Linked DNA regions of Oryctolagus cuniculus. The protein of the gene in region 6 interacts with the protein of the main gene of each other region in a biochemical or structural test. Links are inferred from orthologs where the notes say so. Each region holds a gene or a part of one and is shown on either strand. Other genes may lie near its edges.

Region 1 (3,500 bases), on a different chromosome or scaffold from region 6:
TCTTACGACTGCTCCAGAATGATTATAAAATCATACCTCAAAAACATCATCATGGTTAACAATGTGCTTCACATTCTCAGAGGCTTTCATATGTGCAGTCACTGATAAACTCCCAGGACTGATCTCAGTTTCAGGTTCACTGATCTTCAAAATAGAATTTCCTATCATATACTTTTCTCTTTCATCAACTTTGCTTTTTATTGCAGCAGTACTTTCTGAAGTCTAAGTGAAAGAAAATATTAATTCTTATATCTGTTTTTGTATTAAAGTTTAGATAAAAATTTGCAAGTAACGTGTCAACTTTCAGGAAACTTTAAACTTAGAAACTTGTTATCACTCACAGATAAAAATACCCATTTGGGGAACAGGTGGCCTCTGAAGATTCATGTGCCACATTATAATTGATAATTCAGCTAAGGCTACTCTTCCCCTTAAAAGTTGCAAGGCTGCCTTAGACAAATCAGTCACTTAACTTGGCAAGCTCCACACTGATGGTCAGAATTGTTTTCTGCTCATTGTGGGATATACAGTAACTGTAATGATCTGATAAAATCTTATTCAAATGTCTGTTTTAACAATTACCTTTGAAATCAGAATTGGATAGATTGGATCAGTATTACTGGAGGGCACAAATAATATTTTCCCAATAATCATTTCCCAGGCATACTCTTTGTTCAGGCAATGATTTTCTTGCTTTTAAATATTTACTTTATTTATTTGAAAGGAACAGTTACAGGGAGAGAAAGACACAGAGCTCTTCCTGGCTGCAATGGCCAGGGTTGGACCACGCTGAAGCCAGAAGCCTGGACTCTATATGGTTCTCCCACTCTGGTGGCAGTATCCCAAATACTCAAGCCATATTCCACTGCCTTCCCAGGTGCATTAGCAAGGAGCTGGATTGGAAGAGGAGCAGCTGGGACTCGGACTGGTACTCATCTGGGATGCTGACACTGCAGGCAACAGCTTAATCTGGTGCACCATGAGGCCATCCCCTAGGCAATGGTTTTTTTGAGAGACTACGTTGACTCTATCCTGCCAAACTGAAGATTGTACAGCCATGGAATGATAATAATAGCAATTAGGGAGTTCATTATCACCATAGCTTTGCAGTTCAGGTAGTTGATAACAAAACCACAAACTTAGAAGTACATTTAGCATATACAGAAAGGATCAATTTATCATTTAGAAGTTAAAATTTTTAATGAGTTGGATATAGGCTTTGTCAATCCCTTTGAATTGAGTTTTCTAACCTTTTCACCCATATCTTTGTTTACAACTTGCTGATCTTCATGTGGTTTTAAATCTCTTCCAGAGTCTTCATTGGTCTCTTCATCTTTTAATCTATGTACAATGGTTTGAACAGTTTTGACCATATTCTTAAGCTCATCTGGGTATGGTGTTGGATATCTCTTTAAATTTCCTTCCTAGAGGAATTAAATAAGTGAAACATAAAGTATAAATATTTCTAATGTCAATCTCAAAAAATTTTATAATCCATCTGAACTACACCAAATACCTAGCTCACAACTCTGAGGACAGATGACAGGTTTTAAAAGTATTTTAGACTTTAAAAAATGTGGTTTTAGCACAAAATAGTTAAAGACTTAACTACAAATTTTAATGTTTTGAAATCTTTTTCCAACAGACTTAAATATTTTCTATTTGGAGACACAGTGGGGATACTGACAAAATTGTGTCACTTGGGTTTGAAACAGATATGCTTTCTACCATCTAGACATTTATCCAAATGTAAAATTCACACATACACTTAAGTCTCCTGTGCCAGGAACAGAACTCTGCCAAGGTCAGCCTAACTGTCATTTTCTGGGATTCAGCTAGGTACATAAGTGGCAAATAATTACATCCTTAAGTAAACTGTAAATATGTACTTTCTACTAAAATCATTGTGACACATGTTCTCAATCCCATAAGGAATCGAAATATCTGTAACAAAAAGTTATTAATTTCCGGGATTTATGTAATTAAATCTTAAAGGAAAGGGGGAAAATCACTATAAATTTAGGGAACAAGGAAGAAAACTCAACTCGAGTTTTAAAAGCCACTAATTAGAGACGAAGTTCTGGTTAATTTCCCTAGCCTAAAGAAGAGTCTGGTTTTCTCTTAAATTAACTTTACCAGAAATTCAGCTTTTAATAACATCATTTTATATTGTGCTCAAATGTTTTCACATGTGAAATATTTTGGATTAGTAAGTTCCCTGAGGACAAGGAATGAATTTAGTAGTTTTTCTTAAGACCCAAGTAGCACAGTAGAGGTGTATAGCACCAATTTAAATATTAGCAGGTCTGTTTAAATCTGAAGGAGCAGACTCACCCTTGGAGGTGCTTCCCTTTCATCTTTGTCTTCATCACATTCAAATGCCACTTGAGCTCGCTGTTTCCTCTGTTCCTCCCACAATGAAGGATTAAAACTTTCATTATCTGATATGAACATAACTGGAGAAAAGAAAAACCAAAAAACTACATATTACTGTAATTATAGAAAACCACTATTTAGTAATAATTTTCTTTATGTGTTATGTTCTTCAGAGCAAGTCTAAGTTAAGGCTGGCAAGGATAGCAGCAATAAAACCCTAAGGTAACTATCAGACTGTGATTCTAAGGTTTCTTTACAAAGTAAATCACATTATCTTTTCTCTCTCTGCAGCTGATGTGTCTCTTGTTTTTATACCAGAAGGGGCCCTGAAGAGAGTCTATCAATTAAAACACTAGACAGACAGTTCTGTGAACTACCCTGCAAGGTAACATGGTAATACTGTATATAAGATATAATTTTGTTCAAATTTGCATTTTTGTAACTTCTAATTCCAGTAGTTTATTATGTGTATAGGGGCATGGGAAAGTTTGATAACATTAAGATATTTTGATAAAAAGGATTACCTCAATGGTATGCCATCTTTGCATTAAACATTATATACAAGGTAGATCACTAAAAATGTTAGGACTTAAAAAATCCTTTCAACTATTTTACACTCTACAGAAACTGTAATACAAGAGAAAAATCACAACTCTTTTATCCATTAAAAAAATGACTATCACTACTTAAGAAGAAATTAAAAGCAGCCGGCGCTACGGCTCACTTGGCTAATCCTCCACCTGCAGCGCCGGCACCCGGGGTTCTAGTCCCAGCTGGGGCGCCAGATTCTGTCCCGGTTGCTCTTCTTCCAGGCCAGCTCTCTGCTGTGGCCTGGGAGGGCAGTGGAGGATGGCCCAAGTGCTTGGGCCCTGCACCCCATGGGAGACCAGGAGGAAGCACCTGGCTCCTGACTTCAGATCGGCTCAGTGCGCCGGCCACTGAGGGGTGAACCAACAGAAAAGGAAGACCTTTCTCTCTGTCTCTAACTCTGCCTGAAAAAAAAAAAAAAGATTAAAAGCACCAAAATTATTAGCTAATAAGAAAACTGAAATTCCTGGAATACCCATACATGGTCAATTTGAATGTTTATATGAAACTAGCATAATGCTAAAAACTTTAAATTA
Region 2 (3,500 bases), on a different chromosome or scaffold from region 6:
CAGCACGCGGTGGGATAAGCTGGGTAGAGGAACACAAGGGTCTGGTGGTTTACCCTGAGACTGTGGGTGAGGTAGCCTGGGACACGGATGGGGTAATGAGAGTAAATGGGATAGCCTGGGGCCAGGGACAGGATGGGGTAGCCTGGGGCAGACCCCGAGGTCACTGGGCCCCCTGCAGGAGCTGGGGACTTGGTTCCCCGCCGGGCTCCATGTCCACCACTGCCCCTTCCCCCCCACCCCGTTGCTGGCACGCCCACCTCCTCATAGTCGTTCTCGGGCGTCAGAAAGTCCTCCACGATGGTGACGCGGGGGCCCAGCTGCTCACTCAGCGCATCCAGGAAGCGGTCAGTGTCCCGGCTTCGCATCGGGCGCGAGAAGGTGAAGCGCTTCCTGCGGCTGGGCGGGCGGGCAGGGTCCGGGCTGGGGGGGCTGTCGGGGTGGACGGGCCCTGGCTGTGGGGAGGGCGCCCTGCTGCTGTCCAGGCTGGCGTAGGGGTGGGACTCGGAGCTGCTGGGGGAGCCCGGGTCCCCTGAGCACAGCGGGTAGTAGCAGGGGGAGGGCAGCAGCCGCTCGCTGGGCCAGGAGACGCTGGACAGGGTCCTGGGCCCTGGGGTGGGGGATGGAGCGTGAGGACCCCTGTTCAGCCTGCACCCAGGTCACAGGTGCAGGCTGGAGGGGAGGGCCCGGGGCAGGTCAGTGCTGTGGCCCTAGGCACTCCCCTTTGCCCAGTCTGGGTGACTCTGCCTCCCAGGCTTTTCCCAGCGCGAGGTCAAAGGTCAGAGCACCTGAGGGAGACCCGACTTAGCCCCTGGACGGGCTGGACCTTGAAACAGACACCCCAGCCCAGCTGCACGCCATTCAAAGGGCCGAGGGGCCGAGGGTCAGGTGGCCCCTCCCATGCCCAGCATGCCCTGGGCACACAGGGCTCTTGTCCTCTGACTCCCTCCCGCACAGCAACCCACATGCACGCTGTAGTTTGTCCAAGGGCGCGTTGCTAACGCGGGGACTTCCATGGCTGGGGTGAGGGATACAGGTGACATGGGAGGGGCCGGGATGACCCTGACCACGTGGACAACCCTGACCCGTGCATGGAGGCCTCTGGGGGAGGGGTTCCCTCTGCCTCGGGGACGTTTCCCAGGTGTGTGGACCACAGGGACGACCAGACAGGAGGACAGTGCCTCCGGGGACCGGGCTGGCAAGCCCCTACCTGCCGTGTCTGCTGGGCTGGGGCCTGGCGGGGAGCCCAGGGATTTGGATGTCGACCCCATCTTCCCCTTGAAGCTGCTGCTCAGCCGCGACTCGAGCTCCGCGTAGACGGCCGACATCTGTGGGGACGGGGCATGGGGAGTGCAGCCCACGCCCGCGTCTCCCGCGTGGCCCTAATGTGGCTTCAGCCAGCCAGCAGCAGCCACGGGGGCGCCTTGGCCTGGGGCCTCCTGGGCCCCCTCAGCTATGGGCACCCCCATCCCTGCGCATCCCACCTGGGGGGCAGGGCAAGCCTCACCATCTTGGGGTTGGGGGTCTCGGGGAGGGATGTGCCGTCGCCGGCCTGGCGCTCTCCTGGGATCAGAGGAAGCGGCATCTCAGCGCACTCGCTGGGACCTGCTGAGGAATCAGGAATCAATCAGGGGCGGCCGCGCCTGCCCTAGGGGTCTCCTTACCACACCTGAGCCGTGAGGCCTGGGCCCTGGCCTGGATCCCACAGGCCCCGCGGACCCAGGATGGCCATGCTCAGTCTTGCCTGCCCTCATTCTCTGTCAAGTCTCAGCACTGCACACCCCTTTTGCAGATGGGAAAACTGAGCCCTGGAGGTCCTCTCCCACCTACCCACCCCAGCCTTTCCATCGGGGGCCATACCGCAGCTGAGGCTGGTCTCCAGGCCCTGGGACCGGAGGCTCCGGCGGCACACGGAGGAGGCCCTCAGGGAGCTCCGTGGCTGGGGCTCGGGCACCGGCTCTGGCTCCAGCTCCGGCTCTGGCTCCGGCTCTGACTCTGCTGTGGGACATGCAGGTGAGATGGTGGCCTCCCACCCTCTCAGCCAGACAAGGAGCCTCCAATGAGGGCAGAAGTCGCCTGGACCAAGAAGTGGGCCCCAGGCCAGGGAAACCGGGCACCAGGACACAGGAGGAGCCCCCCGGCCTGGCCAGCGGAGGGACAAAATCCGATCCACAGGGTTCTTCCCATGGTAAGAGTCTAGGGTCCCTTGCTTTCTAGGGGCTCAGTGTCCCATGCTGGGACCAGGCTCATCACTGCTGTCCAAAGGGGCTTAGGGGACAACAGGGAAGGGCCTGGCCTGGACAGCTGTGTAGGGTGTGTGCTGCCCAGCCCAGTCCCTGAGCTTCTTGCCAAGACACTTGTCTCCCCCAGAAAACTGTGGGCCCCCAGGACTAGGGCTCATGGGCCCCCAGGGCCAGCATATAGCGGGGCCTGCAGGGACTGTCAAAGCAGGTGCAAAGAGCCCCGAACAGGGCAAATTCACAGGGTCTGACACACTTCCTCCACCTGGCTTAACAGTGCAGGGTGCTGTGGGCAGGTGGGAGGCTCACGGCCCGGCAAGCTGTGAGTGTGTGCAGCAGGTGCACGCGCATGTGTGTGTGTGTTCAGGCACATGTGCTGGGAGCCCACCAGCCAGGTGCCCCCTGGCCAAGGGCTCGTGACCCAGGCGGCATGTGCTGGTGCATCTGTAAAACAAACCACACACACACTTCTCAGCCCGTGACGCACACTTCCCAGGATGCAAAGCAGTGCTGCTGAGGTCACTCCCATTCTGTGCGTGAGGAGCCTGAGAGCAGGCAGTCGGGTGGGAGAGCACAGCTGCCTGTAAGGACTCCTGGGTGGGGACAGGTGTCTGGCTGTGCACCAGGTGGGTGGGGCAGCTTACCCGTCATGGCCGTGTAGCCGAGGAAGCACTCGATTTTCTCCTGGCAGAGCTCCTGTTCCTCATAGGTCAGCAGCTGGTAGATGAACTGCCACAGCACCTGCTTGGCAGGCGTGTCCAGCACGGGATAGACGTCCACAATGAGGGTGTCGATGTTCCTGGGGGAGGGTGCAGGACAAAGGGGTTCATTATCCAGGGGCTCACCGCAGCGGGTAGGGTGGGGTGGAGACCAGGGCGATCCTTCCAGGCCACAGAATTCAGCCAGAGAAGGAGCAGCAGGCAGGAAGGTGGGCTCTGGGGCCAGGTCGGCAAGATTCAAATCCTGGCTCTGCCACTGAGCGGCTGAGTGTCCTTTCTCAGCTTACTTAACTTCTCTGTGCCCACCTATAGAATGGGGATCAAAATAGCACCTACTGGGCTGGAGTGGTGACACAGCAGGCTAAGCCATCGCTTACAACACCGGCATCTCATATGGAAGTGCCGATTCAAGTCCCAGCTGCTCTGCTTCCAATCCAGCTTCCTGCCAGTGCACCTGGGAAGGCAGCAGAAGATGGCCCAAGTGCTTGGGACTCTGCCCCCATGTGGGAGACCCAGATGGGGTTCCTGGCTCCTGGCTTCAGCC
Region 3 (4,020 bases), about 88 Mb from region 6:
AGGGCAAAACATTCTTACAATAAAAATGTCAACAACATTGTGAGGCAAAGGATGTTTATTCAACACAGTTCATTAACATCACCAAACACACTCTAAACCTTGAATTATTTTCTTAAATTTGATATGCAGAGTGAGTAAATGTATAACATGTAGACCAGATTAATATTCATTAAAAAGCCATTTCTCTGATTTTCCAAAAGAAACACAATAATTTGGAATATACCAGTTTCATCAACCTAGCAACAGTAAGACTTTTTTAAAGGTAACAGTTATACTCTAATTTATACTCCAACTAATCAAAACAAAACACAAAGCAATGATGCAGATATTCCCATTATCCACTGACTCATGGGATTTGAACTACAAGGCACCTAGAGTAGCAAAGGCTGTCTATGTAGTATTGTTGACAGTGCCTGAGTGTCTGAACTAAAACCCTAAAAGCGTTTCCTTTATCCATCTTCACATATGGTCCTAAAAGTTAGGGGAAAGAAAGAATTTTGCAATTCTCAAAACTACATAAAGTTTTAAAGCCTGCCAGAGCTTTTAAAATTACCAATGAAAACATCACATAAATCCTTAAACTTAAAATGATGATGATGGAATATGAAGAAAATCTTCATTTAAGATTAAAGAACCATGTGAGTGTGTGCATCCATATAACCACACTACACTCATCCTTATGTATACGGTGCACCACAAACCATCAGTTCCCATTAAGAATAAGAACTATCAGAAATGTTTCCAAAGTGAGCTGCTGGGAAAGGAAAAAAAAAAAAAAAACTGAGGGAGACAAATTTTTCTCCAGAATTTTCTAGCATTTTGTAGTGAAGAGATGGACTGACATCTAGCCCAGATCACAATTAAGCAGCCCATCATATTGTGATGCATCATTTCAGCAGTGCACATTCAGGAAGAAGACAGCTTGACTTCTAATCACGTTGTAATCCTAATTCCCTCTCCTACAAACACCTCAGAAGGCAGAACATCCTACCGTTCTAACACACCCGACGATAACAGTGGACAACAAATTCATCAGGACTACTACCTACTACCAGCTCTCACTGAACCACTGTACGCAATCTGATCAATGCTTTGAAACTGGCAAGTATGCCATAAACGTAATGTGCTTTGCACCAGATTTTACTAGCATGAAACACACCAGGGCAACGGGTGCTCTTTCCACCTACCACTTCAACAGAATTCTGTTAAAATCAAAAGCTCCAGAAAATCCTTTTACTCAGCCAGGCACCTCGCTCTTCCTTCAAAACCCAGACTCACGTTCAACAACACACGGCTCGGTCACATTTCACCTCCGGTACCCTCCTCGGCTCCCACACACCTGAACCACCTGGCCTGAGTTAGGCTGTTAGATGTCTGCTGGCGTGCAAAACACCCCGAAGCAGCTAAGCCCTCCCAGCTGCACCAGGTGGTGACCCTGGCACCAAGTGCCTCCATAGTAAAAACCTTACTCCTTGTTAGAAGATGCGTTAAGACCATGCCCAAGAAAATGCTACAGTCCTGAGAACCTTTTCCACAAGGCCTCCTCCCAGCAGAAAACTGTCTGCGGTGGGCGACGGAGCTACAGATTTAGGAAACCCAGCCTCTGGTCGCAATTCTGTGACACAGCAGCCATGCCAATCCAGAACTCAGTTTTCCAATCGGCAAAATGGGAATCAGCACCCTTTCTCTCCACCCCCTCCACCCCCCTCCAAGGGAGTCAGGCACACCCAGGAGGTCTGAGATAGCCCGGGGACCCTAAGCGGCGGGAGATGCCAGCGCCCCAGGACGCCCACCTCGGACCTCCCTGACCACCCCCTCAGTCTCCACCCACCACCACCACCACCACAGCAAGGCAGAATAGGCGTACCTGGCTTCACGGTCTTGAGACGGATGGGCTCGCGGAAGTGGCGGATGACAGCCAGGGTGTCCCGGTTGGTGAGCCCGCTGACGGGCGTCCCGTTCACCTCCAGCAGCACATCCCCCGGGCTGGGCGCCTTGCCTGACACCACGCAGCAGGTGCCCCCGCCGGGCTCCTCGCGGAGCCGCCCCAGGTAGGGGAACTCGCCGCGCTCCGCGCCGCCCCGGATCTCGGCGCCCAAGTCGCCCGGGGGCCCGGCCCAGGACACCGCACACTCCTGCACCTTGCTGAGCCAGTGCTTCTTCTTCTTCAGCGTCTTCGACATCCCGAACCCCGCTGCACCATGGGGGAGACCCCGCGCGGGCGGCCGGGGCGCCGCTCCCGCCCCCTCTCAGCCGGGGGGCCCCGGGCGGCCCGCGGAGCCCGGCCAGGGGGGGCTCGCCGCTCTGGCACCCCCACCACCACCACCTCAGCCCGCCGGGCGCCGGCCCCTCCGAGCCCCGAGACGCCCCTCAGACGTCCCTCCCGGCTGCGCTCTCTGGGGCTGAGCGGGCTCCGCGAGGGCCACCGCGGGTTCGGCTGAAGAAAGGAAAAGGGAATTGTCCTCGGGCGATTCCAGAAGGGGTTTCGGGCGGGGTCACTGCCGACGGCTGGCCCCCGGGCTCTGCGCCCGAGCGGCGGGAAAGGCTGAGGCAGGGGGGCGGGGAGGCGAGGGGGGAAGAGCCGGAACGGGAAAAAATCCGTCGGGGGCGCGCAGAAGTAGAGCCGTCGCCGGATCGACCCGGGCTGCTGCGGAGCCGGAGCGCGGAGACCGACGCCTGGCCCAGGCTGCCAGGAAACTGCCGCTTTCAAACCCGCCGCAACCTCCTCCTCCTCCCTCTTCCCTTCCCCCCGCCCTCGCCCATCCCTCATCCAGAGCCCCGCCCCCTCCCGCCGCGCGGCGCCCGGCGCGCTGCCGTCACAGGCCAGGCGCTTGGGAAGGAGCCCAGCTCTCGACTCTCGCGCCGGGGATTGGGCCCCGGCAGGCAGGGGGCGGACCCTCGACGAGAATGAGCGCAGGTGATTGGTTGACGGGAGTGGAGGGGGCGGGCATTGGGATGACTGAAGTTTAGAGAGGGTGGAAAGAAGTTTGGAAGAGTGAGGAAGGACGATGGGGAGGGGCAGGGAAGTGGAGCGGACTGCAGGTCGCTTGGCAGGGAGAGGCCCTACGCGCGGCGACTGAAGCCAAGGAAAACTCGGATTCGTGGAGTGCCCGAACTCCCCGAGGTGGGGGCGTGGCTGGCGAGCCGGGCGGGGTCGGGGGGCGGAGCCTCGGAGCCGCCGCGGGGCGCTGAGAGGAGCCGGAGTGCTTAGACTGGAAGACGGCGCGCCGAGTCCCGGGCGCCTGCCACAGCCGGTCACTTACCTTGAGTCGATCTGTGCTGCTTCTTGTTCGTTCGTTCGTTCAACAAATGTTATTGAACGGCCACTGAGGCGGGGGATCCAGAGTCCCGTGGATGGAAGGTAAAATAGAATCCTGCGCTGCAATGGCTGCGTGAGCTGGGGCCAATTAGAAGACCTCTCTGAACCGAAGCGGCCTCTGCTGAAAGTATCCTTAACACGCACCCGTCCGAGTTGTTGGCGAAGATTACGTGAGATGTCTGTAAAAGATCTGCATGGTGCCCCGCCAGACGATGGATGCGCCTTAGTATCTGGTAGCAGATGATGATGAATTTGTGGTAGGGAGGAATTGTGCCAGCCACTGGGATTCCCGGGGTGAAGGAACACAGAGGCCCTGCTCTCCAGGAGGTTACAGCCTAGTGCGAGGGCCAGACGGGGCGGTGTGGATGGAGGTGGAAGGCGGTTAGGAACTAGCCTGGTAGCCAGCATAACTGAGTTGCAGTCTTCCCATGCTGCTTACTCGCTGTTTGACCTTGGCCAAATGGATACCTCAGAGCCCTTCCAACACTTATTTCTTAGAAATTCCTCCTGCGCTTTCTCCCCTCCCTCGCCTCCCCTTGTCTTTGGAATGCCCTTCCTTCATTCCAGCTCTGCAAAATCCGATCCATTCTTACCCCAGATGCCATTTCTTCCAGGTAGCCTTCTCTGGTTTCTGGCCCTCAGGTGCGGAGTGTCTTCTCGGAGCTCTGAGACTTCACATTTACGCTTTCTCCCATCTCCTT
Region 4 (4,183 bases), on a different chromosome or scaffold from region 6:
CTGGTGGGCCTGCTGTTTTTCCTATCCAGGGAGTCTCTCAGATAGGGAATCGTGATCGGTGAGAACACAGTTAAAGATGCCGGGCTTTGACTTGTCTCATCTGCCAAAAGGCACACAAATGTTACCCAGCCTGTTTTTTTTTTTTTTTTTTTTAAGATTTTATTTATTTATTTGAGAGGTAGAGTTCCAGACATTGAAAGGGAGAGGGAGAGACAGAGAGAAAGGTCTTCCTTTCGTTGGTTCACTCCCCAAATGGCCGCAACGGCCGGAGCTACGCCAATCCAAAGCCAGGAGCCAGGAGTTTCTTCCGGGTCTCCCAAGTGGGTGCAGGGGCCCAAGCACCTGGGCCATCCTCCACTGCCCTCCCGGGCCACAGCAGAGAGCTGGCCTGGAAGAGGAGCAACTGGGACTAGAACTGGCGCCCATGTGGAATGCCGGCGTTGCAGGCTGAGGATTAACCAAGTGAGCCGGCCCCACCGGGCCTGTTTTGTTGAAATATTTGTGCATAGTTTCAATTCATTGCCAGTGCTGTCTTTGCTCACCTAAGCCAACTTCTTCTATTTAATTAGGCTCCATGTTGCTAGCTCACCCAAGCCTTTCAGTGATATTACAATTTTCCTTATAAATAGAAAAAGCTTTCAGTTTGGGAAGTGAAAGGGACTGACCAGCTGGTGTCTCTGATTTATTGGGCAACAGTGTTTTCAGGTGGGAAGGATCCAGGAGGTTCCCTTGTGTGCCTCTGTTCCCTTAGTGTACAACCCGGAATGTTTTTCCCCCGCATGCTTAACTCCTTGGGAAGTGCTCAAGCTTGCATTTCCTTATATAAAAGATTTTCCTAAGCTCTCTTTTGGCCTACTTCATTTCTTGGCTTCCCTTCACATGTTCTCATTTTTAAACTGTTATTCTCTGTGGACAAGGGTTTTCACATCTGCCTTCTCTTTAATAATCAAAGTGTTGCACATCCTGGAACCGCTCACAGCATCGTCTGCACAGTCCTTACTTTTGCAGTAGGAACTGTGCACGGGTGGACCAAGAGCACTGCTTTTCCTGGTTTTATTTTTTCCAAGTAACTGCAAGTTTCATTTTCCTGATACTTTGATAAGAACATTTTTAGATTTCAACACTTCCTTTTTAAAAAGTATTCTCGGTGTTGACGGGTTTCCCATGAAGAATATAAATGTCAAGTCTTAACTGTCTTAGCATTTTACACAGCTAAAAAAAGAGGGACCAGGTCCCTGCTGCCCTGATCTGTTGGAATAAAATCTACCACACTGTGCATTCCCACGTTCCTAGTCCGTGTAACCCACAGAAATGCAAGCATACTTGCAAACGTTTTTGGGAAATGCTCGTTTGGCATGCATGGATTAAAAAAAAAGTTTGCATGGAAATAAATGTACCAGTTAATTCCATTTTCCCACAAATGTTTTTAAGTACCTTCCTAGTTCATGCTGTTAACGCTCCATGATTTATTTATCCAGGGGCTTCTTGTGTTAATTCGTAGAAAGATAGGCCAAAGGAAAGGTGGCAGGGCTCTGGAATGCGGTGTCATGGAGGTGGCTCTACCTGCAGGCATGGAAGGTGGGCTGGGCCATCTTCCTGAGACACCGGGTCTTGGCACTGAACGCAGAGGGCTCCGGGCTCCCGCTCCGCCCTCCGGGAGATGGCCCGATCAGGCCTGTTGATGGCCCCATCACGAGCCCTCGCTAACGCCTCAGCTGGCTGTATGGGTTTGGAGGACAACGCCGGCGCCTTCCTGTGCGCTCCTGCAGACGGCAGCCGCAGCTCCCCCAGGGCAGCTCCCCTGGCTGGGAGGAACCCTCCGCCACTGACTCGCGAAACGCGTTCTTGGCAAGGGGATCGCGACGGTCAGGGACGGTGCTGGTGTCGCCTCTGCATCCCCAGGCTCCGAAGGCGAGCAAGGAGGCGGCGGCAGGGCTGGGGACGCCACACAGCGGGACAGGGACAGCTGGCGTCCACACGTCTACTCGGGGCCAACCGGCCGGCCAGAGGACTTGATGTCTGAGCGCCTCCACTGCCTTCCCTCTCGCCCCCTTCCTTCAGTTTTCTTTTCCAGGTGCGCACAGGAACTCATGCCTCTTCCGGCCCCCGACGCGGACTCCCCGGGGTGGCTCCCAGCTTCCTGGCTGGGCAGGAGACCTCGCGGGGCGCGACGACGCCCCCACCCCCACCCCCAGCGGCAGGTGTCCTGGGCGGGCACCTGCCGGCTCCCATCCTGGTGCCAGCATCGGGTGTCTGGATCACGCTTTCGGCGGCCTGGCTCCCGGGAGGTCCTAGGCGAGGAGTTCCCAGTGCTGGGTTCCTGACGGTGAGGCTGCCCCGCGCGCCGATTGGAACGAGCCGCAGCACAGGTGTTCCAAGCGCACTTGCTGGAGAGCGCGCTGATGCCCGCAGGTGAAGAGAATTTAAAAGTCGCTGCTCCATGCCCGCGCCGCGCCAAAGCCGAGGCCCCTGCCTGCCCGGAGTTCCGTGCGCATCCCGAGGAGGCTGCAGCCGTCCGATGGCCCCGGTCCTCCGCCGACCAAAGCGAGAAGCTGCGCAGGAGGCGGGGGCTCCCGAGGTGGCTTCTATTAGCGTCAATACGGCGGAGGCTAGGGACCTAGCGGGAGCCTGAAAACTTGGAGCCAAACAAACTCTGAGCTCACAGCCGCCGCCGCCGCCCCCGCGCACTCCGCGAGCCCGGCAGCCGCGAGTCGGCGGCCCGGGCAGGGCGCGGGGACTGCGCGCAGCGCTCCGCTCCGCTCCCGGCGCCCCGGCCCCTGGCATGGGCTTTGCCCTGGAGCGCTTCGTCGAAGCCGAGCAGCAGGCCCTCGCCTGCAAGCCGTGCGGCCGGTGGCTGCGGGAGTCCTCGGGCGCGCCGCGCCTCCCCGCGTGCGGCACCCGCTGCCCCCGGCGCCCGCGCCCCTGCGCGCTGCGGTGCCCGCCACGGGCTCCGGACCGGGTGCGCCGAGTGCTGCCGCCGCCGCCGCCGCCGCCGCCGCCGCCACCGCGCAGCCTTCCCCAGGAGCTGCGCACGACCCGGCCGTGCGAGCTGGCGGCTCCCGTCGAGCGCAGGGCCTTCGTCCCTTCCCGCCACCGCCGCCTTGGCGACCCCCGGGGTTGCGTCTCGGGCCTGCGCGGCGGCGACGGGCGAGGGTCCGGGTTGCAGGACCCGGCTGGGGGCCGGCGTGAGACGGCGCAACCCGGGACACGCAAGGCCCGGGACGAATCTCCGCAGCTCATGGCTGGCGCCCGCACCTTCCCCGGAGACCTGGGCGGCGGCCGCGGCCGGGTAAGCACGGGGGGCTCGGGCTACGAGGGCAGAAGCGAAGTTTGGGTCTGAGCGTCCGCGAGCTGCTCGCGTTGCGGGTCCGCGCCCCGCTAACGCGCTCTCGCTGCGGTCCGTGGGGTGGTCCCCCTTCCTGCCTCCCGCTGGGCGTGCGCCCTGCCGCGGGTCCGCTCCAACTTCCCCGAGACGCAGGAGTGAGCAGGGGAGCCCGTTTTCCCACCGCGTCCCTGCACCTGGGAAGGGCGCCCCGCTCGGGGACCCCAAGGGCTAAGTGGTTGGGAGGCGAGGTTTCTTAGGCCCGCAGACCCCGTGTGCTGCGGGGCCTCGCTGCGAGCTTGGGCGGGGGCGTGTGTGCGAGAGCGCTTTAGCCGCCCCCACCGCACCCTCGTCTCCCTGCGGCCCGGGGCGGTGTTTATAGGGCCGTCCGGTCGCTGGCCCAGGGCCTGGCGCCGCTGGCCGCTGCGCGGGGAGCCGCGGCTCAGCCCGACTCGCGCTCCATTCAAGGAGCTGTTTGCATCCCCGGCGCTCCCGGGGAGGGGCCGTCCCCAGAAATGCCCATTTGGGGCTGGCCGTTCGCGCCGCCTCCGGGGCGGGCGGCTGGGCGAGCCGGGGCGCTGCTGCCCTGGAACTCCGGCTAGGGGCCCGCGCTCCCCTGTGTGCGGTGATCGATGCGAGGGGCAGACCCGGGAGAGACGCAGGGCAGCGCTAGGCGTGGGGACCTCCGGGAAGAGCCTCGCGCCGCCGGCAGAGGCCGCTGTGCGCGCTGCCCGGAGGCGCTCGGGGACCCTGGCCTGGGGCGCGGGCCGTGCAGCGGCTTGGGCGGAGCTGCTGGGGTTTCCACTCGCACGCCGCCCTGGGTGAAGTGCACCTTGCGGGCTCTGTAGTGCCGTAACATTG
Region 5 (4,254 bases), on a different chromosome or scaffold from region 6:
AGGCCAAGCCGCAGAAGAGAGGATTTCATTTGCATTTGACCTCACGGTGTGTGACTGCTGCCATAGCACCCAGGACCAACACTAGCTCATTAACAGGAGATTGCTTTATGCAGGACCTCCCCTGGCTCCTCTTATTAGATTTCGGAAAACTCTCACTGGGGATAAGATGCAGCACTGGGCACAGGTTGGTTCCTGTCTAGGAAGCCCACAGGTCTTGATCCTGAAGTATTGCCTGCAACATAACAAAACTTAAGAATGTCCTGTTAGAGATTTTCACACAACTCCCTTTTCAGTTGCTACCGATTTTTGTTTGTGTTTTGCTTCTCTAGGTTTATTTTCAACCACAGGGAGTCACATTTTCTTCCTCTTTTTGGATGGGAGTTTGTTTTGTTTTTAACCTCTTTGGTTTCAATTTAATGAATAATGACTTGGCAGTGAAAGAAAAAGGGACAACATACAAGATATTCTAAAATTAAAATAGCCTGGCTTTTGCACCTTCCCCCAGTATTCACAGTAAGTATTTGCAAATTGAAGAACTGCCCAACAGTTTAGAGTACAAGCTACACTTGCTGCAGATCCCACCTGTCCCCTCACACAAAGCAACACACAGTTGAATCAAAAAAAAACTTTGTTGTTTACTTATGTTAATCATCAAGCCAAAGCAAACAGACTTCCAGTTTCTGGATCCAGGGTGGTAATTAAATATAAAGACATCACAGATCCTCTAGACAAATAAGGGGGAGAAAAGAAGCCCTCTGTCTTCTAGGCCAAGAGGTGGGACTTCACACATTAGGGAGTTGCTTGAATTGTCACACACAGTGCAAAGTTGGTTTCCCAACTCTGAAGTTTCTCAGATTCACACACCCAGCACCCTGACTTACGTCCCGAGTTTAGAACTTAAATCGATGCCATTTCACCAAGTCTTGGTTTGAATATTGCTTCATAGCCAAGTTCCTTTCTTCACTCACAAGGTATGCGTGTCATCGGATACCCAAGCTCAGGACAGACCTTTAACTAAGTGAGGGACTCTGGACGATTCACTCTGTAAGGTAAAGGGGGCCTTGGATAAGTGGACAAACTACATTGTGGCGTCAGTGCCGGCAGAGGCACGCAGAGCGGGAGGAAAAGCAGGTAGCAAATGAGAAACGCAGCTACAGCAAAGAACATGTGCTCAGTGTACTATCTCACTGCTCTCTTCTCCTGCATAATGCCACATGCTCCAGAATCGGTACAAATCGCTATTTCTTCTATTCACACTCGGTGACGAAGGAATGAGAGGCATCAGACCACAGAAGATAGTTTCTAAAAAGTCCTTGCGCTCAGGGGAAACTGTTTCCAAAGGGCAAATTTGTTTCCACACCTTTCTGAAAAAGCTCCAGAAAATGCAGGCAGAAAAACCACTTCACCCAGCTCCAGCTCCGCACCCAGAGGAGCCAGGAATCCAGACTGACCGGCCAAACACCCGGCAGGGGAAGTGAACTTTTGCCTAAAATTGCAACACATCTCTTAGCCCTTGGCACAACTCCCCGGGCACAATGCCCGCTCTCCAAACTGCAGGCGGGAAATAGAGAAGGATGGACCGGAGTTTTGGCATTGAAATATTGCTCGCTCTCTCCTGCTCCTCCATGATTCAGTCCTGTCAGCGGGCTAGCGCAGGCTTCGGAGTGGGAAACTGTGCAGAACAGAAAACTGCATTGCTACCACCGAGCGGATCCGCTCCGCGACGCTCCCAACACCTCAAAGCCCCTTCCACTACACTTGGATTATCCGCAGACGAAAAGGAAACATCGCACACTAAGCATACCTTTTGGCCCTGAAACCCCGCTCGCCTGTCTTTCCGTGCACCCCCCTTGGGAGGGGCACGTTGCCCCAAGCTGGGTAAAAGTTGTCAAAAATCCCAAGAGCCGCCGCCGCCTTCACCTGCACGCACAGGGCCGGGTCCCTGGGGTGCGGGTGGGAAAACCCGCAGGTGCGTGCGGCCAGCGCGGCGTTAACCCCTTACCTTCCAGCAGCACCTCCTTGCCTGCGCGCTTCAGAGCCTGCACCGCCTCGTCGTGGGTAGCATCCCGCAGGTCGGCTCCGTTCACCGATAGGATGGCGTCGCCCACGTACAGAGCTTGGGTCTGGTCCGCCGCCAGCCCCTTGAAGATCTTGCTGATGAGGATGGGCATCTTGTTCTCTTTGCCCCCCTTAATGCTAATGCCCAAACCGCCCAACTCCTGCTTCAGCACCTTCACGCCGCGCTTCTGGTTCGAGATGGACTCGGGCACCTGCTCCGGGAGGTCGGTGAAGGCCGTGCGGACCCCGGCGGGCGAGTCCGGGGGCTGCGCGCCGCCCGCGCCCTGGTGCCCGGCCCCGGCACCCCTGCAGAACGAGCCATTGGTGGCTGCCCCGATGCCGTTGTACGCCGCAGCGCCCTCCTCGCAGCTCAGAACCAGGGCGTCTTCGCTCAAGTTCACCAGAACTTTGTGCCAGCGATCCCGCACCAAAACTTCCAGCAGCCCGCTCCGCTGAGCCCGGCCGCTTCCCCCGCCTGCCGGCCCAGCCGCCGCCGCCGCCGCCGCCGCCGCTACCGCCATCTTTCCGGCATTCTTAAAACGCCATGTGATTGCAAAAGGGGGAAAAGTGGGGAAGGGTTGCGGGGAGCAGGACGCGGGGTCCGGGGCAGAGAGCAGAGCGCGCCCGGTGCAGACGCGGCGGCGCGCGGGACTCCGCTCCGGGAGTTCGCAGGCGCACTGGGCGCGGGTTGGCAGCCGCAGCGGGGCTGGCTTGTTCCCCCTCGCCTGATCCTGGGCGGGGTGGAGCAACCTAAAAGAAGAAGGAGAGACCTAGACAGGGGAGGGAAAAAAAAAGGCAGCCAGCTGCTAGTTGCAAAACCCCTCGCCAAGGGGAGCCGCGGAACAGCTAGGCGCTGGCTGGAGTCCGTAGGGCGCCGCACGCTCCGGGAAGGGCGGGGACCGCGCACCCTGCCGCCGCTCACCTGTTCCAGCAGCCGCAGCGGTCACTCGCCGCCACACCCCGCCAGACCTGGGCACCCGGGGACGGCCACCCCAGCGCCTTCTGCGTCTCACGTCTCTCCACTCGCCGCAGCCCCCTTTCCTTTACCGTGGGCGTCCTGCCTGGGTTTATCCAAGTAGATCCTCCCTATCCCTTTCCCTTTCGCACCCGGCGGGTAGAATTGTTCCTTGGTCCCTGGTCTCCCCAAACCAGCGCTTCACTCAGTGCTTACCTGTCCCTCCTTTCAAAGGGACTCTCGGGAAGCTAGGTAGGCGCAGACCGAGGGCCTGGGCGATCCCAGGGTCAACAAGGAAAGCTGCCCCCGCGGTCCTAGAATAAAGCGCGTAACCCACGTGTCTAACCCTCTTCTTCAATGCAACACATCTGTTCTACTCGGGCTCTGGAGCGGTTTCTCCTTTGGCCTGGGGTTTTCAACAGGTCACAGCCTGCCTGGACCCCAGGGACAAACGTTCTTCCAGCTGGAATTCATTACGTGCTCTGTGCTTCTGACCTGTCTCTCCAGCCACAGTCCCACACTGAATGCTTCATGTTGCTTTCTCCTTCTTGAGACACCATACAAGAGCTCTCCTATTCAAGAACTCAGATGGAGTATCTTGCATCTGCAGGGTTCCTTTGCTTGTTACTTATTTGCATCTCGTGTTGCATTTTTTCAGGGTAACAGTGTTAGTTTTTTGGATACCTTTCCTGGCCAATCCGGAAATGCCAACATAGTCCATGCCATAGGTGGATGTTCCGGAGTTCCCCTGCCCTTGAACTTTTCAGGTTTTCCACTGCCTCCCCCAACACACACACTGAACCAGTGGTCTCAGGGTCCATTCAAAGCCCTTCTTAGCTACACTCCCTTCCCACTCTTCTTTCCACTCTCTCCAAAAACAAAACAATATTCACAAATTTATTAATCCCTGAAGGTAAAGGCAACACAGCAAGGCGTCAGAAGGAGAGAACTCTTCCTGAACACCTGATGTGTCTTATCATTGAAAGTTCTTAGCCCTCACACTTTTAATCAGGGATGCTTAAAAACTCAGATGAATTCCTAGAGAGTGGAGTTCCAGCGAGGGCCACAGAAGGAACTGAAAACACCTGAACATTTTTTTGCAGATTGGGCAGAGCCCTTGGATTAATGCTTCCACTTACCGCTCTCCCCCATGCCCTTGTATTATTTTTAGCTCATCAACTTCTAAAAGCACTTTATGCCTTTATGTAAAGGTGCCCACATCAGGGATGGCAGCTCCTGGG
Region 6 (3,500 bases):
CTCTCTCACTCTCTCATGCTCTCTCTTTCTCTCTCTTAACTAATGCAAATGAACAAAAGCCAGTGCTTTGAAGAGGAAGTCCAGCACTCTTAGTCTGAAGTTAGCCTGAAGTGACATTAGTCCTGGTCAGAAGTAGCTGGAAGGCCCTCGTCCAGCTTGGGAGGCTAAGGGGGAGGTGAGACCTGACTGAGGGCAGGAAGACCAGCTGATGTCTGAATCAAGATATTTTTGGTAAAGGTTTATTTATTTGAAAGTTACAGAGAGAGGTAAAGACACACACACACACACACACACACACACACACAGGTCTTCCGTCCACTAGTTCACTCCCCAAATGCCTGCAATGGCCAGAGCTGAGCCAATCTGAAGCCAGGAGCTAGGAGCTTCATCCAGGTCTCCCACATGGGTGCAAGGGCCCAAGGGTTTGGGCCATCTTCTGCTGCTTTCCCAGGCCATAGCAGAGAGCTGGATTGGAAGTGAAGCAGCCGGGACTTGAACCGGCTCCCATATGAGATGCCAGTGCTGCAGGCTGGGGCTTTAACCTGCTGCACCACAGTGCCGGCCCCAATATTTAAATATTTTTTTTTTTTTTTTTTAAATTTGAAAGGCAGAGTTACAGGGAGAGAAGGAGAGAGGGAGATCTTCTATCTGCTGGTTCACTTCCCAAATGGCCGCAACGGCCCAGGGCTGGGCCTGGCTGAAGCCAGAGCCAGGAGCTTCTTCTGGGTCCCCATGTGGGTGCAAGGACCCAAGGACTTGGGCCATCTCCATCTTCTGCTGCTTTCCCAGGTGCATTAGCAGGGAGCTGGATCAGAAGTGGAACAAATGGGACTTGAACCAGCGGCACTCAGGGATGCCAGTGTCACAGGCGGTGGCTTCACCCTCTACGCCACAGCGCCAGCCCTGCAACTTCTATTCTTTAAAAAAATAAGAAAGGGGCTGGCGCTGCGGCGTAGCGGGTGAAGCCTCCACCTATGATGCTGGCATCCCATTTGGGCACCAGTTCGAGTCCCGGCTACTCCACTTCTGATCCAACTCCCTGCTAATGGCCTGGGAAAGCAGTAAAGGTGGTTCAAGTGCCTGGGACCCTGCACCCACATGAGAGACTCCGAAGAAGCTCCTGGCTTCAGATGGGCCCGAGCTCTGGCCATTGCAGCCATTTGGGGAGCGAACCTGTGGGTAGAAGACCCCTCCCTCTCTCTCTTTCTCTCTGCCTCTGCTTTTCAAATAAATAAATAAATATTTTAAAAAATAATAAAATAAAAAAATATGTGGGGAAGCCCACCCAGACCTGTGGCTCAGAGTCTTGGGCCCAGGGAATCTGTCTCCCTAGTCAGCTTCCCGGGTGAGCATCCGCGCCAGCCGCTTCTAGAATCTGGGCTTTGTCTGCTAGAGGACAGGGGCTGGTCGAGGTGCCAGGGAAGATGTGGGGCTCTGACAGCGTGGTGCAGAGGGACACGGGTTGTTCAGCCTGGCCGGAGGCGTGCTGGAGCGCAGGGCTAGACAGATGGGCACTGCCGAGGGCTGGGGGCTGAGAGCAGGCCTGGAAGCCGGGACCAGACCCGGAACGGAGGAGGCAGTGTGAAGTCAGCGTCCCCAAAGCCTGGGGCACAGAGCCCCAGGAGCTCGGGTCTAGTGAGAGCCCTCGGGTGGCCCTGGGGAGTGAGTGGGTGTGCCGTGTGTCCGGCACCGGGTGACTGCCTCTCCTCTGGCCAGTGCGCGACCGCGTCCGGACCAAGATGGAGAGGGACATCCTGGCCGACGTGAACCACCCCTTTGTGGTGAAGCTGCACTATGGTGAGACTGCAGCCCTTCCCCGAACTCCCGCACCAGCCCGCGCTCACCCTGGCCGGTGGTCTACACTGTCCAAGCTCCCACCTGCAGGCTGAGGGGCAGGTCACACGGCCGGTGACTCTTGCCCCTCTCCCCAGCCTTCCAGACAGAGGGCAAGCTCTATCTCATTCTGGACTTCCTGCGCGGTGGGGACCTCTTCACACGGCTCTCAAAAGAGGTGAGCAGATAACCCACTGACGGACCACAAGGCCTCCCACTCCTGGGTCCCGTACGGCCTGGGTGTGGAGCCACCTAGGCCTCCCCAGGTGAACCTGATCCAGGCCTTGTCCGGCCTGGCAGCGCCTCCGAGAGTTCCTCCCCAGTGGATGGAGGAGGGCTAGGCCCTGGGTCTGATGTTCACCGACTGGGGGGAGCTCAGGGTGCCTCTCCCCTGTGTGTCTTTCTTCTTCCAGGCTGCCCTGGGCAGAGCTGGGAGCAGCCAGGAGAAGCCCAGATGTGGCCGGCGCCGCGGCTCACTAGGCTAATCCTCCGCCTAGCGGCGCCGGCACACGGGATTCTAGTCCCGGTTGGGGCGCCGGATTCTGTCCTGGTTGCCCCTCTTCCAGGCCAGCTCTCTGCTGTGGCCCGGGAGTGCAGTGGAGGATGGCCCAGGTGCTTGGGCCCTGCACCCCATGGGAGACCAGGAAAAGCACCTGGCTCCTGGCTCCTGCCATCGGATCAGCGTGGTGCGCCGGCCGCAGCGCGCCGGCCGCGGCGGCCATTGGAGGGTGAACCAACGGCAAAGGAAGACCTTTCTCTCTGTCTCTCTCTCTCTCTAACTGTCCACTCTGCCTGTCAAAAAAAAAAAAAAAAAAAGAAGCCCAGATGCACCGAGAAAGCGGGAGACTCGCACACTCTTGTCCCACCTGTTAGCCAAAAGATTTTGAACTGATATAAAAGGATTTTGAGCCAGATACGAAAAATACGGTCATTAACACAATTCCAACTTTAAAGAGAACCAAGCTTTAAAACAAGGGTGGGGGGGGGGGGGTTGGTTTAAACCTTATTGCGGTGTTTGCATAGGTAAAACATTTACATGATTCAAAAGAAAAATATTTATGGGGAAGGCTTCCTCCTACCCCAGTGCCCTGTATCCCCTATCAGTAAACATTTTTATTGGTTTCTTGTTGAACCTTCCCATGTTTCTTCTGCAAACAAATCCCAGGTGTGTTCTGAATCGCCGCCGCTCTGGATACCATGCCCCCTGCCTCGCTGCGTTCCTTCCAGGCTGTGGGAAGCTCCTGTCCTAGTTCATAGCTGTGCACCAGTCCTTCTGCAGGGGCCAACAACACAGTTCCTCCCAGGCTTCGGCCCTGGGACCCCTGGGCTGTTTCCCGACAAAGACCACCACCCTGGGCAGCCATCATTTCATACTTCAAACCCCGTGATGATACGGAGGGCCGAGGAGGCTAGACCCTAGGGACAAGGAAGCTGCTGCCTGCCCAGGGCCCACTGAAGCCCCTCGCGCCTCTTGCAGGTCATGTTCACAGAGGAGGACGTGAAGTTTTACCTGGCCGAGCTGGCGTTGGGTCTGGACCACCTGCATAGCCTGGGCATCATTTACAGAGACCTCAAGCCTGAGAAGTGAGTGACCCCCCAGCCCCACCCTGGCCTCCCTCGGGGGTGCACAGACAAGGGCTGGGGCCTCTTCTAGAACAGGGTCACCT
Region 7 (2,290 bases), on a different chromosome or scaffold from region 6:
TGTCCTTGTCGGACCTCTCCGGCAGCTCGGTGATGTCGGAGAGCTCGCGGCGGCGCGCGTCGGCGCCCGCCGTGCAGGCGCGCAGGCCGCCGTGGGGCAGCGCCCAGGGCTCCCGACCCGGCTCGCGCAGCGGCGGCGCCCGGTGCGCGCGCGCCAGGCTCAGGCACTCGAGCTCGATGCTGCGCAGCTCCTCGTTGAGCAGCGCCAGCTCCTGGTCCACACTCTCGGGGTCGCTCTTGGCGGCGTCCAGGCCGCTGCCGGCATAGTAGGGGCTGCAGGGCCCGGCGCCGCCCGCCCGGCACTTGAGCTCCAGCAGCTCGCGGAAGCGCTCGCACTCGTCCACCGGGATCCCCAGGTAGTCGGCGTCCGTGCAGTCGGCAGACACGAAGGACTCGTTGCTGAAGGGCAGGTCGCCGCTGCCCAGGGTGTCCTGGCTGCAGGTGAGTTTCCTGTGGCCCGGCAGCGCGGCGGCGGGCGCCGCCGTGGCGTCGTCGCCGTTGTTCTCCTGCTCGGAGCTCTCGTCGTTGCGCGTGCTCTCGTCCGTGCGCCCCACGCCGCTGTCCTTCTCGTGCTGGTTGGACAGGATGGTGGCGGTGTCTGTGGTCCCGCCGTCCTCCTCATGCTTCTTCTGCACAAGGGAAACCACAGGAACAAACGATCATTGCCGAAAGCGGCGAGAAGTGGCGGTGGAGGTGACGCAGGTCCTGCCCGACTTTCCCCTGAAGGCCAACCTTCCTGGGAAGGGCGGCTCTCCACTTCCAAGCCGCTGAGGGCAGGACTGGAATGCACCTACCCTCCTCCTGTCTCCCTGGGTGTCTCTAATCCTTGCACTGTGGCCCAGTTGTCTGTCAGTGCGGGGTAGCTGTCACCTTCAGTGAATGGCTGAACTACTGGACGACCCGTCCTTGGGTAGCAGGCTGCATAACTGGCCTCCATTAGCTCAGAGGGACTCCACTGGGTGATTATGACTCTGACAAAGGATAGTGGCACAGTCGGGAGCTCTTAGCAGCTCAGGTTAAACAGGGAATGGCTCTGCTTCTGCAAACAGCACTTTATTTTCCCCACTGCACCTTAACGCTAGCACGTGTGCATTTCAAACAGCTCTCAGAAGGTCAGTTGTTAAAAGCTCGCTCATGGAGAGTATCAGCTTGCAGCTCCCTCATGCTCCAGGAGAAGGCACTTAATCTATTCTCTTGCGGTCTTTCAGGTCAGTGGGTTTCTGGGTCTTAGGATCAGGAAGGGAGATGGAGGGAGCAGCCCCCTTGGTGCAGCTGGGCGGGGAGTAGGGTGAGGGGTCGTGGCCGGTGTTACCTGCTGGAGCATACTGGCGGTGAACTGCATGGCCTGGTGGTGTTGCTCCTCCAGCATGTCCATGTGCAGGTCATCCAGGAAGTCGTTCCGGTCATCGTCCATCCAACCCTCGTCCAGCTGCAGGGAGAAGCAGTAGCCAACAGTGCCTTGTAAGTTTCCTTTTGCTTTCATTGTTATTGATTTCTTTGTTAAAAGAAAGGACATTACCCTAGAGGAAAATATTTTGGGGCTCCCTCCGGGAGTCATCCCAGTGCAGTGTGCCCCTTGTTTTTGCTGCAGGTTGGGAAGCCACCCACTCCTGAGACCTCCACTGGGCTGCCACTGTGGCACCGTGGGTTAAGCTGCTGCCTGCAATGCCAGCATCCCATATCTGAGCACTGGTTCAAGTCCCAGGTGCTGTACTTCCATTCTAGCTCTCTGCTAATGCTTCTGGAAAGCAGAAGATGGTCCAAGTGCTTGGGCCCCTGCCCTTCAAGTGGGAGACCAGAATGGAGTTCCAGGCTCCTGGCTTCATCCCTGGCCCAGCCTCGGCTGTTGTGGTTCTTTGGGGGAGTGAACCAGTGGATGGAAGATCTCTCTTTCTCCCTCTCTCTCACTCTGTCTTTCCCTTGCTCTCTCTGTAACACTGCCATTCAGATAAATAGAGTAAATCTTCAAATAAGAGACCGCCAACCCTACATCACATCTGGGGAAGTCTCTGGTGCCCGCTGTGTGTTTTGCAGGGAGCACTCTTTCCCCTGCATCAGCTGCTGGGAGTGAGTCCAACAGGCTGTCTGTGTGGCAGGGTCAGGTGGGGCCAGCCAGGCCTCCTGCTTGCTGGACCACACACGGATTGAGCAGCCCCCAAAGAGAAACTCAAAAGAGTTCTTTGTGACAGAAGCAGGTCTACTAAAGTAAGTGTTTGGCCTGGACAAGAATAACCCTTTCATCAGGCCCCTCAAAAGAGCAGACTCTTCAGGGGTTGACGATGTACAGCCCG

Evidence for each region.
Region 1: the proteins of RPS6KA1 (region 6) and ERBIN interact in a test that uses a peptide from one of them, tested with the Homo sapiens proteins (2 studies listed by BioGRID and IntAct). The link is inferred for Oryctolagus cuniculus from reciprocal best matches to the Homo sapiens genes RPS6KA1 and ERBIN.
Region 2: the proteins of RPS6KA1 (region 6) and GRID2IP interact in a test that uses a peptide from one of them, tested with the Homo sapiens proteins (2 studies listed by BioGRID and IntAct, with this or other methods). The link is inferred for Oryctolagus cuniculus from reciprocal best matches to the Homo sapiens genes RPS6KA1 and GRID2IP.
Region 3: the proteins of RPS6KA1 (region 6) and MAGI3 interact in a test that uses a peptide from one of them, tested with the Homo sapiens proteins (2 studies listed by BioGRID and IntAct). The link is inferred for Oryctolagus cuniculus from reciprocal best matches to the Homo sapiens genes RPS6KA1 and MAGI3.
Region 4: the proteins of RPS6KA1 (region 6) and PDZRN4 interact in a test that uses a peptide from one of them, tested with the Homo sapiens proteins (2 studies listed by BioGRID and IntAct, with this or other methods). The link is inferred for Oryctolagus cuniculus from reciprocal best matches to the Homo sapiens genes RPS6KA1 and PDZRN4.
Region 5: the proteins of RPS6KA1 (region 6) and SNTB1 interact in a test that uses a peptide from one of them, tested with the Homo sapiens proteins (2 studies listed by BioGRID and IntAct, with this or other methods). The link is inferred for Oryctolagus cuniculus from reciprocal best matches to the Homo sapiens genes RPS6KA1 and SNTB1.
Region 7: the proteins of RPS6KA1 (region 6) and PDZRN3 interact in a test that uses a peptide from one of them, tested with the Homo sapiens proteins (2 studies listed by BioGRID and IntAct, with this or other methods). The link is inferred for Oryctolagus cuniculus from reciprocal best matches to the Homo sapiens genes RPS6KA1 and PDZRN3.

What each region holds. Positions count from the first base shown.
Region 1 is NC_091445.1:86,967,413-86,970,912, reverse strand, and holds part of ERBIN (erbin), read right to left. Parts: intron 2,457-3,500; coding exon 2,335-2,456; intron 1,425-2,334; coding exon 1,251-1,424; intron 223-1,250; coding exon 37-222; intron 1-36. UniProt on the Homo sapiens protein: Acts as an adapter for the receptor ERBB2, in epithelia. By binding the unphosphorylated 'Tyr-1248' of receptor ERBB2, it may contribute to stabilize this unphosphorylated state.
Region 2 is NC_091450.1:39,964,061-39,967,560, reverse strand, and holds part of GRID2IP (delphilin), read right to left. Parts: intron 3,037-3,500; coding exon 2,882-3,036; intron 1,996-2,881; coding exon 1,858-1,995; intron 1,606-1,857; coding exon 1,505-1,605; intron 1,326-1,504; coding exon 1,208-1,325; intron 608-1,207; coding exon 258-607; intron 1-257.
Region 3 is NC_091438.1:56,976,569-56,980,588, forward strand, and holds the start of MAGI3 (membrane-associated guanylate kinase, WW and PDZ domain-containing protein 3), read right to left. Parts: upstream 2,801-4,020; 5' UTR 2,184-2,800; coding exon 1,868-2,183; intron 1-1,867.
Region 4 is NC_091440.1:132,670,998-132,675,180, forward strand, and holds the start of PDZRN4 (PDZ domain-containing RING finger protein 4), read left to right. Parts: upstream 1-1,383; 5' UTR 1,384-2,782; coding exon 2,783-3,289; intron 3,290-4,183.
Region 5 is NC_091437.1:146,580,983-146,585,236, forward strand, and holds the start of SNTB1 (beta-1-syntrophin), read right to left. Parts: upstream 2,801-4,254; 5' UTR 2,580-2,800; coding exon 2,003-2,579; intron 1-2,002. UniProt on the Homo sapiens protein: Adapter protein that binds to and probably organizes the subcellular localization of a variety of membrane proteins. May link various receptors to the actin cytoskeleton and the dystrophin glycoprotein complex.
Region 6 is NC_091438.1:144,950,243-144,953,742, reverse strand, and holds part of RPS6KA1 (ribosomal protein S6 kinase alpha-1), read left to right. Parts: intron 1-1,716; coding exon 1,717-1,797; intron 1,798-1,931; coding exon 1,932-2,011; intron 2,012-3,310; coding exon 3,311-3,417; intron 3,418-3,500. UniProt on the Homo sapiens protein: Serine/threonine-protein kinase that acts downstream of ERK (MAPK1/ERK2 and MAPK3/ERK1) signaling and mediates mitogenic and stress-induced activation of the transcription factors CREB1, ETV1/ER81 and NR4A1/NUR77, regulates translation through RPS6 and EIF4B phosphorylation, and mediates cellular proliferation, survival, and differentiation by modulating mTOR signaling and repressing pro-apoptotic function of BAD and DAPK1.
Region 7 is NC_091441.1:75,889,378-75,891,667, reverse strand, and holds part of PDZRN3 (E3 ubiquitin-protein ligase PDZRN3), read right to left. Parts: intron 1,429-2,290; coding exon 1,312-1,428; intron 629-1,311; coding exon 1-628. UniProt on the Homo sapiens protein: E3 ubiquitin-protein ligase. Plays an important role in regulating the surface level of MUSK on myotubes. Mediates the ubiquitination of MUSK, promoting its endocytosis and lysosomal degradation. Might contribute to terminal myogenic differentiation.